Linked DNA regions of Macaca fascicularis. The protein of the gene in region 2 purifies or fractionates together with the protein of the main gene of each other region. This does not show direct contact. Links are inferred from orthologs where the notes say so. Each region holds a gene or a part of one and is shown on either strand. Other genes may lie near its edges. The genes, in order: CD81, GNB1 and PFDN5.

Evidence for each region.
Region 1: the proteins of GNB1 (region 2) and CD81 purify together in Homo sapiens (co-immunoprecipitation; 4 studies listed by BioGRID and IntAct, with this or other methods). This does not show direct contact. The link is inferred for Macaca fascicularis from reciprocal best matches to the Homo sapiens genes GNB1 and CD81.
Region 3: the proteins of GNB1 (region 2) and PFDN5 purify together in Homo sapiens (co-immunoprecipitation; 3 studies listed by BioGRID and IntAct, with this or other methods). This does not show direct contact. The link is inferred for Macaca fascicularis from reciprocal best matches to the Homo sapiens genes GNB1 and PFDN5.

Annotation. Positions count from the first base shown.
Region 1 is NC_088388.1:2,297,083-2,301,121, reverse strand, and holds the start of CD81 (CD81 antigen), read right to left. Parts: upstream 2,829-4,039; 5' UTR 2,597-2,828; coding exon 2,531-2,596; intron 1-2,530. UniProt on the Homo sapiens protein: Structural component of specialized membrane microdomains known as tetraspanin-enriched microdomains (TERMs), which act as platforms for receptor clustering and signaling.
Region 2 is NC_088375.1:232,992,558-232,996,125, forward strand, and holds part of GNB1 (guanine nucleotide-binding protein G(I)/G(S)/G(T) subunit beta-1), read left to right. Parts: intron 1-1,896; coding exon 1,897-2,059; intron 2,060-3,568. UniProt on the Homo sapiens protein: Guanine nucleotide-binding proteins (G proteins) are involved as a modulator or transducer in various transmembrane signaling systems.
Region 3 is NC_088385.1:60,094,415-60,098,760, forward strand, and holds the start of PFDN5 (prefoldin subunit 5), read left to right. Parts: upstream 1-1,500; 5' UTR 1,501-1,525; coding exon 1,526-1,597; intron 1,598-1,797; coding exon 1,798-1,900; intron 1,901-2,202; coding exon 2,203-2,234; intron 2,235-4,069; coding exon 4,070-4,144; intron 4,145-4,264; coding exon 4,265-4,346. UniProt on the Homo sapiens protein: Binds specifically to cytosolic chaperonin (c-CPN) and transfers target proteins to it. Binds to nascent polypeptide chain and promotes folding in an environment in which there are many competing pathways for nonnative proteins.

The DNA.
Region 1 (4,039 bases), on a different chromosome or scaffold from region 2:
TGCCTGTGCGTGTGTGGGGGGGCTCCTTTCTGTGAAAGAGGTCAGGCTACCCCAGCTGCCTTCTCCCACAGGCAAGGCCTTTTTCCTCTCTAAAATGGAACTTTTAACAAGCGCCCCATCCAGACACACATTGTCAACCTCCTCCCCACCAGCCTCCCCTGAGCCCACGGGACTGCACTGAGTCCCTCTGGGCCCTGCAGGGTTCCTGCAGCCCCTTCCCCACTGCACATCCTGCCTGCCTGGGCTGGGTTCTCTGAGGCAGGGGTCCCTTTGGACCCTTGGCCAACCCCCACACCCTGAGCCCTTCCTGTACCAAGCCCCCTGTCAACACTCAGGCATGTCAGTGAATCCACCAACAACGCCAGGAGGCAGGCTCATTGAGGGCCCCCACTGCAGACGGGGGAGGCCAAGGCCCAGGACCAGGGCAGTGTGGTGGGGACTCCACTGAGGGAGGCCCAAGCCCATGGCACTGTGCTCTCAGCCACACACCCTGCGACACCACGGTGGAGGGGGGTCCACCAGGGTGGTGCCCACCAACCTCACCTCACCCAGCCTGGCATTCCTGGCTACAACAGAGCCCCAGTGGATGGGTGGGTCCACAGTGACTGTGAACGGACTCAGTTCTCAATGCTTTGCGGGGAGCGGGCCCTGGGGAGAGGAGTGGTGAGGCCTTGGAGACATTTCCTCGAGCCTTAATAACAAGCATCCCTGGGATGCGTCAGGTCTCCACCCCAGCTGCCTGGGAAACTTCCAGGCCCGCCGTGGCGACACTCCCGGGGGACTGCCAGGGACACCTCTCAGCCTGGGCAGGCAGGAGGGACTCACCCAGCGGTGACCCAGCGGTGACGCATCGTCCAGAGAGCAAAAATCCACCTCCAGAGAAGTCCCCTTCCCTGACTCCCCTTCAGCCCCCGCCCCCAGGCCCACACTCTCCTCATCAGGGGATGGGGCTCCAGGGGCCGGCAGAGGGACATCCTGTGTCCCGTGCCTCTCCCACATGCCTGGGCTGAAGCAGGCCACCACTAAGCAACGGCCGAGGTGCCAGGGCTGTGCCTGGGGAGGGCAAGCCCCTCCCAGATGGCCTCGCTGCCCCCACTGCCAGGGCAGAGCCAAAGGCTACAGTGACTCCCACCAGTGTCCCAAGCAGACTGTGCAGAACAGTCGGTCTTGGGGAAGGTGGGATGTGACCGCCCCACTCCTCTCCCAGCTGAGAGTTCAGTTCAGCCTCTGTCCTTCCCCGTCCAAACAATCTCCCTGCCCCAGATCCGCACTGGGATCCTCACAGTCCAGATGGGAAACAGATGTCTCTGGTCCCACACACTGGCTCCGGGGCCATTTTAAAAGTTTGCCCTCCCTGCCTCAACTTGAGAAACACTCGCTCCACTGGGACATCAGCCGAGTCTTCCACGAGAAGGGGGTGACAGCCTGGGGGGACACGGGGAGGGGCTTGCGGTGTCTGCCCAGGGGCGTGGCCGCGGGGAGGTCACCATCATGGACACCCACTCCAGTCCTTCCAGGCCAAGAAGGGATTTCCACCCCCTCCCCAATTCCAACACTGACAGGAAATGGAAACAAAAGGCGAAAGCCCATCAGTCACTTCCCAGCAGCAAAGACTGCGGTCAGGAGAAAGCCATTCTCAGCAGGAGACCCTCCTCCACCCACGTTGGCACCCAAAGATGCCCAGCGTGGGGGCCCCTCTTTCCAAAGCAGCGGCCCCACTCCCAGACCCTGCCATCCACTCCAGGCCCCTGGTGCCACTCTCTTCCTTGTGCCAACTCAGAACCGCGGGACCCCACTCCTGCAAGGCCTCCAGAGCCCTTCTGGGAGGAGGCCTAGGCTGGAACGTGTCTGGGTGAGGAGAGGGAGATCGGCCCCCAGACAGGACAGCCAGGGTGCGCGCACCCCAGCTTTTGGGCCATCCCAGCGGTGACATCCTTTTAGGCGCGACCCCCGGGAAGGTCCCGGGTGGTGACAGCAGACTGGCGAGTTAGCTGGGCTGGGGAGAGAGTGAGGCGATCGCCCCCAACCTCGGGCAAAGTGTGCGCCCCCGCCCCACCATCCAGGGGCGGCGGCCCTTGATGAGCTCATGGGGGCGGGGCGCCAGGAGTCCCGCCCGCGAGCCCCCCCTTCGTCCCCGCGAAGCAGCAGTCCGGAATCCGCGGCCAGGGACCCGCGCAGGCCCCTCCTCAGCTGAGGGGCGGCCGGGTACTCGGGTCCCGGCCCGCGCCCACCGCACCCATCACTATCACTTAGCGGGAACTGCCCGGCGGCCCCCAGAAGCCCCGGCCCGGCCGCAGAGCTGGGCCCCCGCGCACAGAGGCCCCGAAACTCGGCTCGCAGCCCTCAGCCCCAAAGTTGGGGGGCGCGGCGGCCCCGGGCGACCCCCCACCCCGCTCCTGGAGCCCACAGGTGGCCCCACAACTTCGCGGCCCGCGCTGCGCCCGCGGGGCCTAGCACGCGGCCGCGGGACCTGCCCGAGGTGGGGTGTGTGCCCGTCCCCTCCCGCCCTGGCCCCCGGCCCAGCCCTTACCCAGAAGACGAAATTGAAGACGAAGAGCAGGTACTTGATGCACTTGGTACACCCCTCCACTCCCATGGCGACGCGGGCGGCGGGCGGCCTGCGGGGCGCGGGCCGGTCCTGGGAGGCGGGCGGGCCGGCGCGGGGCCTGGCGGGCAGCCGGCAAGGGGGCCTGGCGGGCCTAGGGGCCTCGGTGCGAAGAACGGGGCGCGGGGGCGCAGGGGCGCGGGGGGCGCGGGGCGCCGGAGGCCTGGCCGGATGCGCGGTGGGGTCGCCGCTATCTCCGCCGCTGCGCGCTCGCTCTGTGGCCGGGCGCGCGCCGCGCTCAGCACCACTTATAGGACGCCTCGGTCCCGCCCCCCGTAGGCCCCGCCCCGGCCAGCTCGCGCCCCGCCTCCGGCCCCGCCTCCCGTCGCCAGGGCGCGCATCGGAGGGGTATGGGGGCGCTGCACCTACCCCCAACTTGGCGCGTTTCGGCCAGGACCTCAGGGCCCGGGTGCACCGTGCTGGGCGCGGGAGGCGTCCCTAAGCTGCTGTCGCGCTCCGAGCCCCCGAGGGGGTGGCAGCAGGGCCGCGCCTGAGGACGGGCATGCAGCGTCTACCCAGGAGTGCAGGCCCGGTGCCGGGAGAACAACCTATTCCTCCCTCCCTCAAGCACCTTGGACAATCTGGGAGGGCTCCCCAAAGGAGGTGAGCACCTTGGACAATCTGGGAGGGCTCCCTAAAGGAGGTGATGCCACAGTGGTTGGCTTTGCAGAGACAGGAGGGTTTGCTCACATTGCTCTCCGGGGCTGGAACGGGGCAGGCATGAGGCCCCCTAGTCAGTGTTGGCCTCAAGTACAGGCAACCAATCCCTGTCCCATGGAAGGGAAGAATTGCTGACCCATGCTGCAGGAGTCTGCATCTGAAAAGGTCACTGGGCCCTGAGAGGGCAGCTCCCAGACCAGTGTGAAGTGTCCAGGAGGCCAGAGCCACCTATAAGAGAACCTCCAGATATTGCATCTATTTCATCCACATCCTGGTTGTGTCGTGCCCCAGGGATGCCAGCCTCACGCTGTGGCTCTTCCTGTAGGTGTGGGGCCAGGCCCGCTGCACTTACTGCTTTGGGCTAATGATTCAGAGTGAGGGGTGCTTCCTGCCCAGAGGAAGGAGTGAAGGCCTTCGCAGGAGATGACACACCGACAAAGGTTTCCCATGTCCTCTCCAAGAAAATTGATGGACAACAGGGCTGCGTCGTGGGCGGGAGCTTACCTGGGAACCATGTGGAACCAGGTCCGGAGAACCGTGCTCTAGCTAGCTCGTCTTAGCAAATGTCGTCCAATCCAGTGCTAACTGATAGAACCTTCTGCAATGATGGGAATGTTCTGTAGCTGGATAACCCCTGGCACAAATGACTACTGGGTACTGGAAATGTGGCCACAAGGAACCGAATTTTTCATTGCGTTTCATTGTAATTTAAATTCACGGCCGGGCGCGGTGGCTCACGCCTGTAATCCCAGCACTTTGGGAGGCCGAGGCGGG
Region 2 (3,568 bases):
TTTATTTATAGAGTGCAGAAGTATCACTTTTCATTTAATTATTAGTTTTTTAGGAGAGATCATCATACTTTAAAGTGTAATGTATGTTATTTTCAAGACTTAATCCAAATTGTACTGTTTTGAATAAAAAGTATTGTTGGCTGGGCATGGTGGCTTATGCCTGTAATCCCAGCACTTTGGGAGGCTCTGGCAGGCAGATCACAAGGTCAGTAGATCGAGACCATCCCGGCTAACAAAGTGAAACCCTGTCTTTACCAAAAGTACAACAAATTAGCCGGGCGCGGTGGCGGGTGCCTGTAGTCCCAGCTACTCGGGAGGCTGAGGCAGGAGAATGGCGTGAACCTGGGAGGCGGAGCTTGCAGTGAGCTGAGATGGTGCCATTGCACTCCTCCAGCCTGGGCAACAGAGCGAGACTCCGTCTCAAAAAAAAAAAAAGTATTGTCATTGGTCCCAACATATACGTAAAAGATGTTATTCAGTTTACTAAAGAATACTAAATGTGTATAAATGGTTACATTCATTACAGCAGATCTAACACACTGGGAGAGATGTGGCAGGATAGATTATAGTAATGTCCATTTCGGTTATTCCGTAAAAATATTTTGTTTTCGGCCGGGTGCGGTGGCTCACACCTGTAATTCCAGCACTTGGGAGGCTGAAGCAGGTGAATCACCTGAGGTCAGTAGTTTGAGACCAGCCTAGCCAACATGGTGAAACCTCATTCTCTACTAAAAATACAAAAAATTAGCCAGGTGTGGTGGCAGGCGCCTGTAATCCCAGCTACTCAGGGGGCTGAAGCAGGAGAATCACTTGAACCCGGGAGGCAGAAGTTGCAAGTGAGCCTAGATTGCGCCACTGCACTCAAACCTGGGCAACAAGAGCGAAACTCCATCTCAAAAGAAAAAAAAAAAGTTTTGTTTTCAAATAAGTTCATAGCCATTTGACAGGGTAATGCAGTGTTTTCCTTCTAATATGTATGGGTTTTTTTGGGTTTTTTTTTGTTTGTTTGTTTGTTTGAGACAGAGTGTTGCTCTTATCGCCCTGGCTGGAGTGCAGTGGCGTGATCTCTGCTCACTGCAGCCTCCACCTCCCTGGTTCAAGCAACTCTCCTGCTTCAGCCTCCTTGAGTAGCTGGGATTACAAGCGCCCACCACCATACCCAGCTAATTTTTGTATTTTAGCACAGATGGGGTTTCACCAATTTGAGGCCAGGCTGGTCTCAAATTCCTGACCTCAGGTGATCCACCCGCCTCAGCCTCCCAAAGTGCTAGGATTACAGGTGTGAGTCACCGCGCCCGGCCTGTTTGTTTTCTTGTGAGATGGAGTCTCGCTCTGTTGCCCAGGCTGGAATGCAGTGACATGATCTCAGCTCACTGCAACCTCTGCCTCCCAGGTTCAAGTGATTCTCCTGCCTCAGCCACCCGAATAGCTGGGACTACAGGCATGCGCCATCATGCCCGGCTAATTTTGATATATTTAGTAGAGACGGAGTTTCATCATGTTGGCTAGGCTGGTTTTGAACTCCTGACTTCAGGTGATCTGCCCAATTTAGCCTCCCAAAGTGCTGGGATTACTGGTGTGAATGACCGCACCCCACCTAATAAAGTAGTTTTGATGAGTAGGCAGCACTACTATTAAGTCCCCACCTAATCATAAGTCGTGACTTTAGTAAAACTGGATTGTGTGGATTGAATTTGAATCCCATGTGCAGCACTGGACTTCTCATTAATAGGCTTCACCTGAGTGGCCACTCATGGGAATTACTCTCTAGATAATTTTGGCTCTTATTTTGTTCTGTTACCTCCTATGCAATGAAAGTTGGAGATGAGATAATCCTAGCGTCAGTGTTGTTTTTGAACATAAAGGTGTTTGCATCATCTGTGTTTCTGTCATTAGGTCCACGCCATCCCTCTGCGCTCCTCCTGGGTCATGACCTGTGCATACGCCCCTTCTGGGAACTATGTGGCCTGCGGTGGCCTGGATAACATTTGCTCCATTTACAATCTGAAAACTCGTGAGGGGAACGTGCGCGTGAGTCGTGAGCTGGCAGGACACACAGGTACCCATCCTTGTTCATAACCTTCAAGTGACACAAGCTGTTTAGCTGGAGTACATTATATGCTTTGGATATTCACCTTTTATCAGTCATTTATTAATTATTATTATTATTTTTTTTCTTTGAGGTGGAGTCTTGCTCTTTCGCCCAGGCTAGAGTGTATTGGCATGATCTTGGCTCAGTGCAAGCTCTGCCTCCCGGGTTAACGCCATTCTCCTGCCTCAGCCTCCTGAGTAGCTGGGACTACAGGCACCTGCCACCACGCCCGTCTAATTTCTTTTTGCATTTTTAGTAGAGATGGGGTTTCACCGTGTTAGCCAGGCTGGTTTTGAACTCCTGACCTCATGATCCGCCTGCCTTAGCCTTCCAAAGTGCTGGAATTATAGGCGTCAGCCACTGCGCCCGGCGTTATCAATCATTATTAATGAGACTGGTTCAAATAAAAGTCACAGTAATGGCCAGAAGTCTTCTGAAAATGAAACTAAAAACAGGCCTGACGTGCCTTTACCAGTAAGGAACCTGTGGATTTGCGCTGGACATGGTGGCTCATGCCTGTAATTACAACATTCTGGGAGTCCAAGGTAGGAGAATAGCTTGGAGCCAGGAGTTCGAGACCAGCTGGGACAACAAAACTTAGACCCCTTCTCTACAAAAAAGGAAAAACTTAGCCACGCACAGTGGCGCACACCTGTGGTCCCAGCTCCTCGGGAGGATGGCTCAAGCCTGGGTGGTTGAGGCTGCAGGGAGCTATGATTGCACTACTGCACTCCAGGCTGGGTGAAAGTGAGACCCTGTCTCTGCAAATGAGGCAGAATAGAGCCCTGTGGCTGTAAGTGCTAGGTAGTCTATTTCACCAAGATTTTGTTTACTTGTGACACTAATTCATCATGAAAGGCATACGTTTGCTGAAAGAGGATGTCCTATTCTAATATATTTTACCTCTCTGGCTGTATTATCTGTTCTCAGAAATGTTATGGCCCCAGTACTTTTTGGTAACACTCCGCCCACTTCACATGCAGCCAAAGAAATCAGTTCATGGAGTCACTAGTACTGCTTTTGACGCCTATTAAGCAGTCTGATAAATAAGTTAATTTTGGCCAGATTACAAGTATAACCTTGTCCTTTGAAAGATATGCTGCTATTGTTGATTTCTGTTCTTGGTTCTTTCCTGCCTTCTGCTTACTTTGGAGTTGCCTTCTTCTTAATTTTCCAGCTGCCTAAAGTAGATTTGTAGGCCACTGGTTTGCTTCCTTTTCAGATACAATCACTTAAATTTTTAAATTTCCCTCTAAGCATGGCTTTAGCTGCATCACACACATATTTTTAATATTGTCTTTTTTTTTTTTTTAAGATGGAGTCCTCCTCTGTCACCCAGGCTGGAGTGCAGTGGTGTGATCTCAGCTCACTGAAACCTCCACCCCCTGGGTTCAAGCGATTCTCCTGCCTCAGCCTCCCGAGTAGATTACAGATGTGCACCACAACGCCTGGCCAATTTTTGTATTTTTAGTAGAG
Region 3 (4,346 bases), on a different chromosome or scaffold from region 2:
ACTCCTGGGCTCAAGTGATCTGCCCTTCTCGGCCTCCCAAAGTGCTGGGATTGCAGGAATGAGCCACCATGCCTGGCCAAAACATTTTATTGATTAATTTGTGCTCTATGTGTTGACAATGGTGCTTCCTTGCTGTTCTCCCACCAACTCACTGGCAACGGGTTATAAACCCTTTTTCAGATCCTACTAGGTGTCAGCCTACTTCCGGCTGGGGGAAGATGGTCATAGCTAGAGGGGAAGAATTAGTTCAGTGATGAGAACATGGTTGGTTCCTGCCTTCAACAAGCTTTCAATCTAATGCCTGATTTTTTTTTTTTTTTTTTTTTTTTTTGAGACGGAGTCATGCTCTGTCGCCCAGGCTGGAGTGCAGTGGCCGGATCTCAGCTCACTGCAAGCTCCGCCTCCCGGGTACACGCCATTCTCCTGCCTCAGCCTCCCAAGTAGCTGGGACTACAGGCGCCCGCCACTTCGCCCGGCTAGTTTTTTGTATTTTTTAGTAGAGACGGGGTTTCACCGTGTTAGCCAGGATGGTCTCGATCTCCTGACCTCATGATCCGCCCGTCTCGGCCTCCCAAAGTGCTGGGATTACAGGCTTGAGCCACCGCGCCCGGCCATGCCTGATTTTTTCAAGAACAATTCAGAACGGTCTGACAAGGGATTTTTTTGTTGTTGTTATTTGTTTTTTTTTCCCTGCCTTTCGGCCTCAGAGGCCATCTGGGAAAAATAGTTTAGAATTTCCCTGCCATGGCCGGGCGCGGTGGCTCAAGCCTGTAATCCCAGCACTTTGGGAGGCCGAGACGGGCGGATCACTAGGTCAGGAGATCGAGACCATCCTGGCGAACACGGTGAAACCCCGTCTCTACTAAAAAATACAAAAAACTAGCCGGGCGAGGCGGCGGGCGCCTGTAGTCCCAGCTACTCGGGAGGCTGAGGCAGGAGAATGGCGTAAACCCGGGGGGCGGAGCTTGCAGTGAGCTGAGATCCGGCCACTGCACTCCAGCCCGGGCGACAGAGCCAGACTCCGTCTCAAAAAAAAAAAAATAAAATAAAAAATAAAGAATTTCCCTGCCATTTCCCTGCTGTGCGGGGAGGAATATTTGAAATCGGACCTGGCGGGGTACCAGCAGGCAGCACAAGCAGGTGGGGTAGAGAGGGGCAGGACGAGGCCCCAGGAGCCGTCACCATAGCAACCCAGCCTGCTATCTAGTAGCTTATACCACCCACGTGGAGTAGCATACACTACTTTGTAATATCGTGGTTGTATCGTGAGAACTTTAAGATTTTGCAGTTCCCTATGGGCAGGAGTCCTGTTTGCTGCTACTTTACTGTACTAGGCTTAGAATATTTTATGAAAATAACTGACAGATCAGCCTCTGAGAAATTCAAGCCCCTCCTTCCCTTCCGGGACGGAGGATCATAGAGCTGTATGGCGCAGCGAGGCCTCCTGGCGCCATCGAGACGCGCAGAGGACGGCTAGAGCGTTGCTCGCCGAGGGACTTCCTCTTCGTTAGTCCTCCTTCCCAACATGGCGCAGTCTATTAACATCACGGAGCTGAATCTGCCGCAGCTAGAAATGCTCAAGAACCAGCTGGACCAGGTAGTGACGGGCCCCATAGGCACCTCTTTCCCGCTCTACATCCCCCTTGCCCACGCGTACTTCCTTGCGCCCGGTCCCAAGTTGGGAGCCTACCTTGCCCAGGCGAAACCTCTATCCGGTCCCAGGACCCGCCCCCTCCCCGGCCGCTCTCCCTTTTCCCCATAGCCCTCTCATTGACCCGCTATACCCGTCCTCTGTAGGAAGTGGAGTTCTTGTCCACGTCCATTGCCCAGCTCAAAGTGGTACAGACCAAGTATGTGGAAGCCAAGGACTGTCTGAACGTGCTGAACAAGAGCAACGAGGGTATGGGGTAGGGGGGTGAGGGCAACCTAAAGTGGCAAGCCTGCTTCTCTCGTCCCACCTCCTAATCCAGTTTTTCTTACCTGAAACGAGAAAATCCATTACATATCGTATACCGCTTCATGAACCCTTTGCATGTTGCCTACCTAGAATTGAAATGTACAAGACGTTCCTCTGCTTCTATTGCCCCTGTTTCCGTTCTTTTCACACTGTCTGTGGGTGCTGTGCCCTCTTGGAACTCTCTTTAACGTCTTACATTGGAGCCACTAACCTTCCCCAGGTGTTTGTCTTCATTGCTTTCACAGGGAAAGAATTACTTGTCCCACTGACGAGTTCTGTATCCTTTCCACAGGAACGGCTACCTGCTGCCTTCTCCCTTTCTCCCTCACTCCTCCAAAAAGCAGGGAGGGGGATTGTTTTGATTACTTCAGTACTTCAGATTATCCTCTCCCCACAATGATTTTGATAACACCCTTTTTTTTTTTTAAAGACGGAATCTTGCTCTGTCGCCCAGACTGGAGTGCAGTGGTGCGATCTCGGCTCACTGTAACCTCCGCCTCCTGGGTTCAAGAGATTCTTCTGCCTCAGTCTCCTGAGTAGCTGGGACCGCAGGCACGCGCCACCACGACTGGCTAATTTTTGTATTATTAGTAGAGATGGAGTTTCACCATATTGGCCAGGCTAGTCTCGAACTCCTGACCTCGTGATCTGCCTGCCTTGGCCTCCCAAAGTGCTAGGATTACAGGCGTGAGCCACTGCCCCCGACCAAGAGTACTCTTATTACACACTTTGTAGCTCTTTTATCTAACTTCACACCAACATCCAGCTAATGCCTTGTGAACACCAAGGAGTATGTATAGTTGAGATGTAATATTTCCCTTTGCTATTTGAGAACATTAATATGGAGATAAAGCTGGTGGTTTACACTTTGCTAATATCTTAGAAGATATAGGTAATAGACAAAAATAGGAGGATATAGGAACAGGGAGGTTGGCTCTGTTAATTGTGGCTCATTTCTAAACTGTCACTAAGAAACCTGGATTGTGTCCACTTGTTCAGTGTTTTACTTGAATGAACAAGTTATGGCAGTAGGGCACCTTTAATCTGTAGTCTGAGAACTGACAGGCTAAAAGGAGCACAGGAATAGTAGTGTAGTAGGGAATGGTTAAAAAAAAAATTAGGCCGGGCGCGGTGGCTCAAGCCTGTAATCCCAGCACTTTGGGAGGCCGAGATGGGCGGATCACGAGGTCAGGAGATCGAGACCATCCTGGCTAACACGGTGAAACCCCGTCTCTACTAAGAAATACAAAAAATAGCCGGGCGAGGTGGCAGCGCCTGTAGTCCCAGCTACTCGGGAGGCTGAGGCTGGAGAATGGCGTGAACCCGGGAGGCGGAGCTTGCAGTGAGCTGAGATCAGGCCACTGCACTCCAGCCTGGGCTACAGAGCGAGACTCCGTCTCAAAAAAAAAAAAAAAAAAAAAAAATTAGCCAGGCACGGTTGCTCACGCCTGTAATCCCCAGCACTTTGGGAGCCAAGGCTGGCAGATCACCTGAGGTCAGGAGTTCAAGATCAGTCTGGCCAACATGGTGAATCCCCGTCTCTACTAAATATACAAAAATTAGCCGGGCGTGGTGGCACACACTTGTGATCCCAACCACTCCGGAGGCTGAGACAGAAGAATCACTTTAACCCGGGAGGCGGAGGTTGCAGTGAGCCAATAGCGCGCCACTGCACTCCAGCCTGGGCGACAGAGCGAGACTCTGTCTCAACAAACAAAAAAAAAATGAACTTCGGTAGGAATTATCTACTTCATGATTGAGGGTGTTAAGGGAAATGAGGCTGGCTTTCCACTTGTAGTACTCTACAACAGTAGGAAAACATTATATCTAGTCTTTCTGATGGGGCTAATGAGAAGAATTGCAAGAACTGCTTAGAGGGTGAGAGATGGGATGAGGCAGAACAAAAGGGTGTTCCAGCATACATCATTTTCTCCTTAAAGAACCAACTTCTCTGTCTTCTTTCCATTTGGAGTTATTGTTCTAAGGCCTCCAGATTATTCAGTCCTTATGCCTTGAAGCTTTTTGGAAAAGGGTCTTTGGAGGCCAAGCAGACTGGCTGGCGGAATCATGGCTCATGCTGGGCTAGTTTTTGCCTTAATACTTGCTTCTCAGATGTATGTCCCTGGGAAGCTGCATGATGTGGAACATGTGCTCATCGATGTGGGAACTGGGTACTATGTAGAGAAGGTGAGTGAGAGCATGTGGATGCCCCTCTGAACAGGGAAGGGAAATTTAGGGGAAGTTCTAGAGTGCAACATGGCCAGAGGGAGTCTCCTTTTAGCCCCTCATTCACCTCTGATCTTGTAGACAGCTGAGGATGCCAAGGACTTTTTCAAGAGGAAGATAGATTTTCTAACCAAACAGATGGAGAAAATCCAACCAGCTCTTC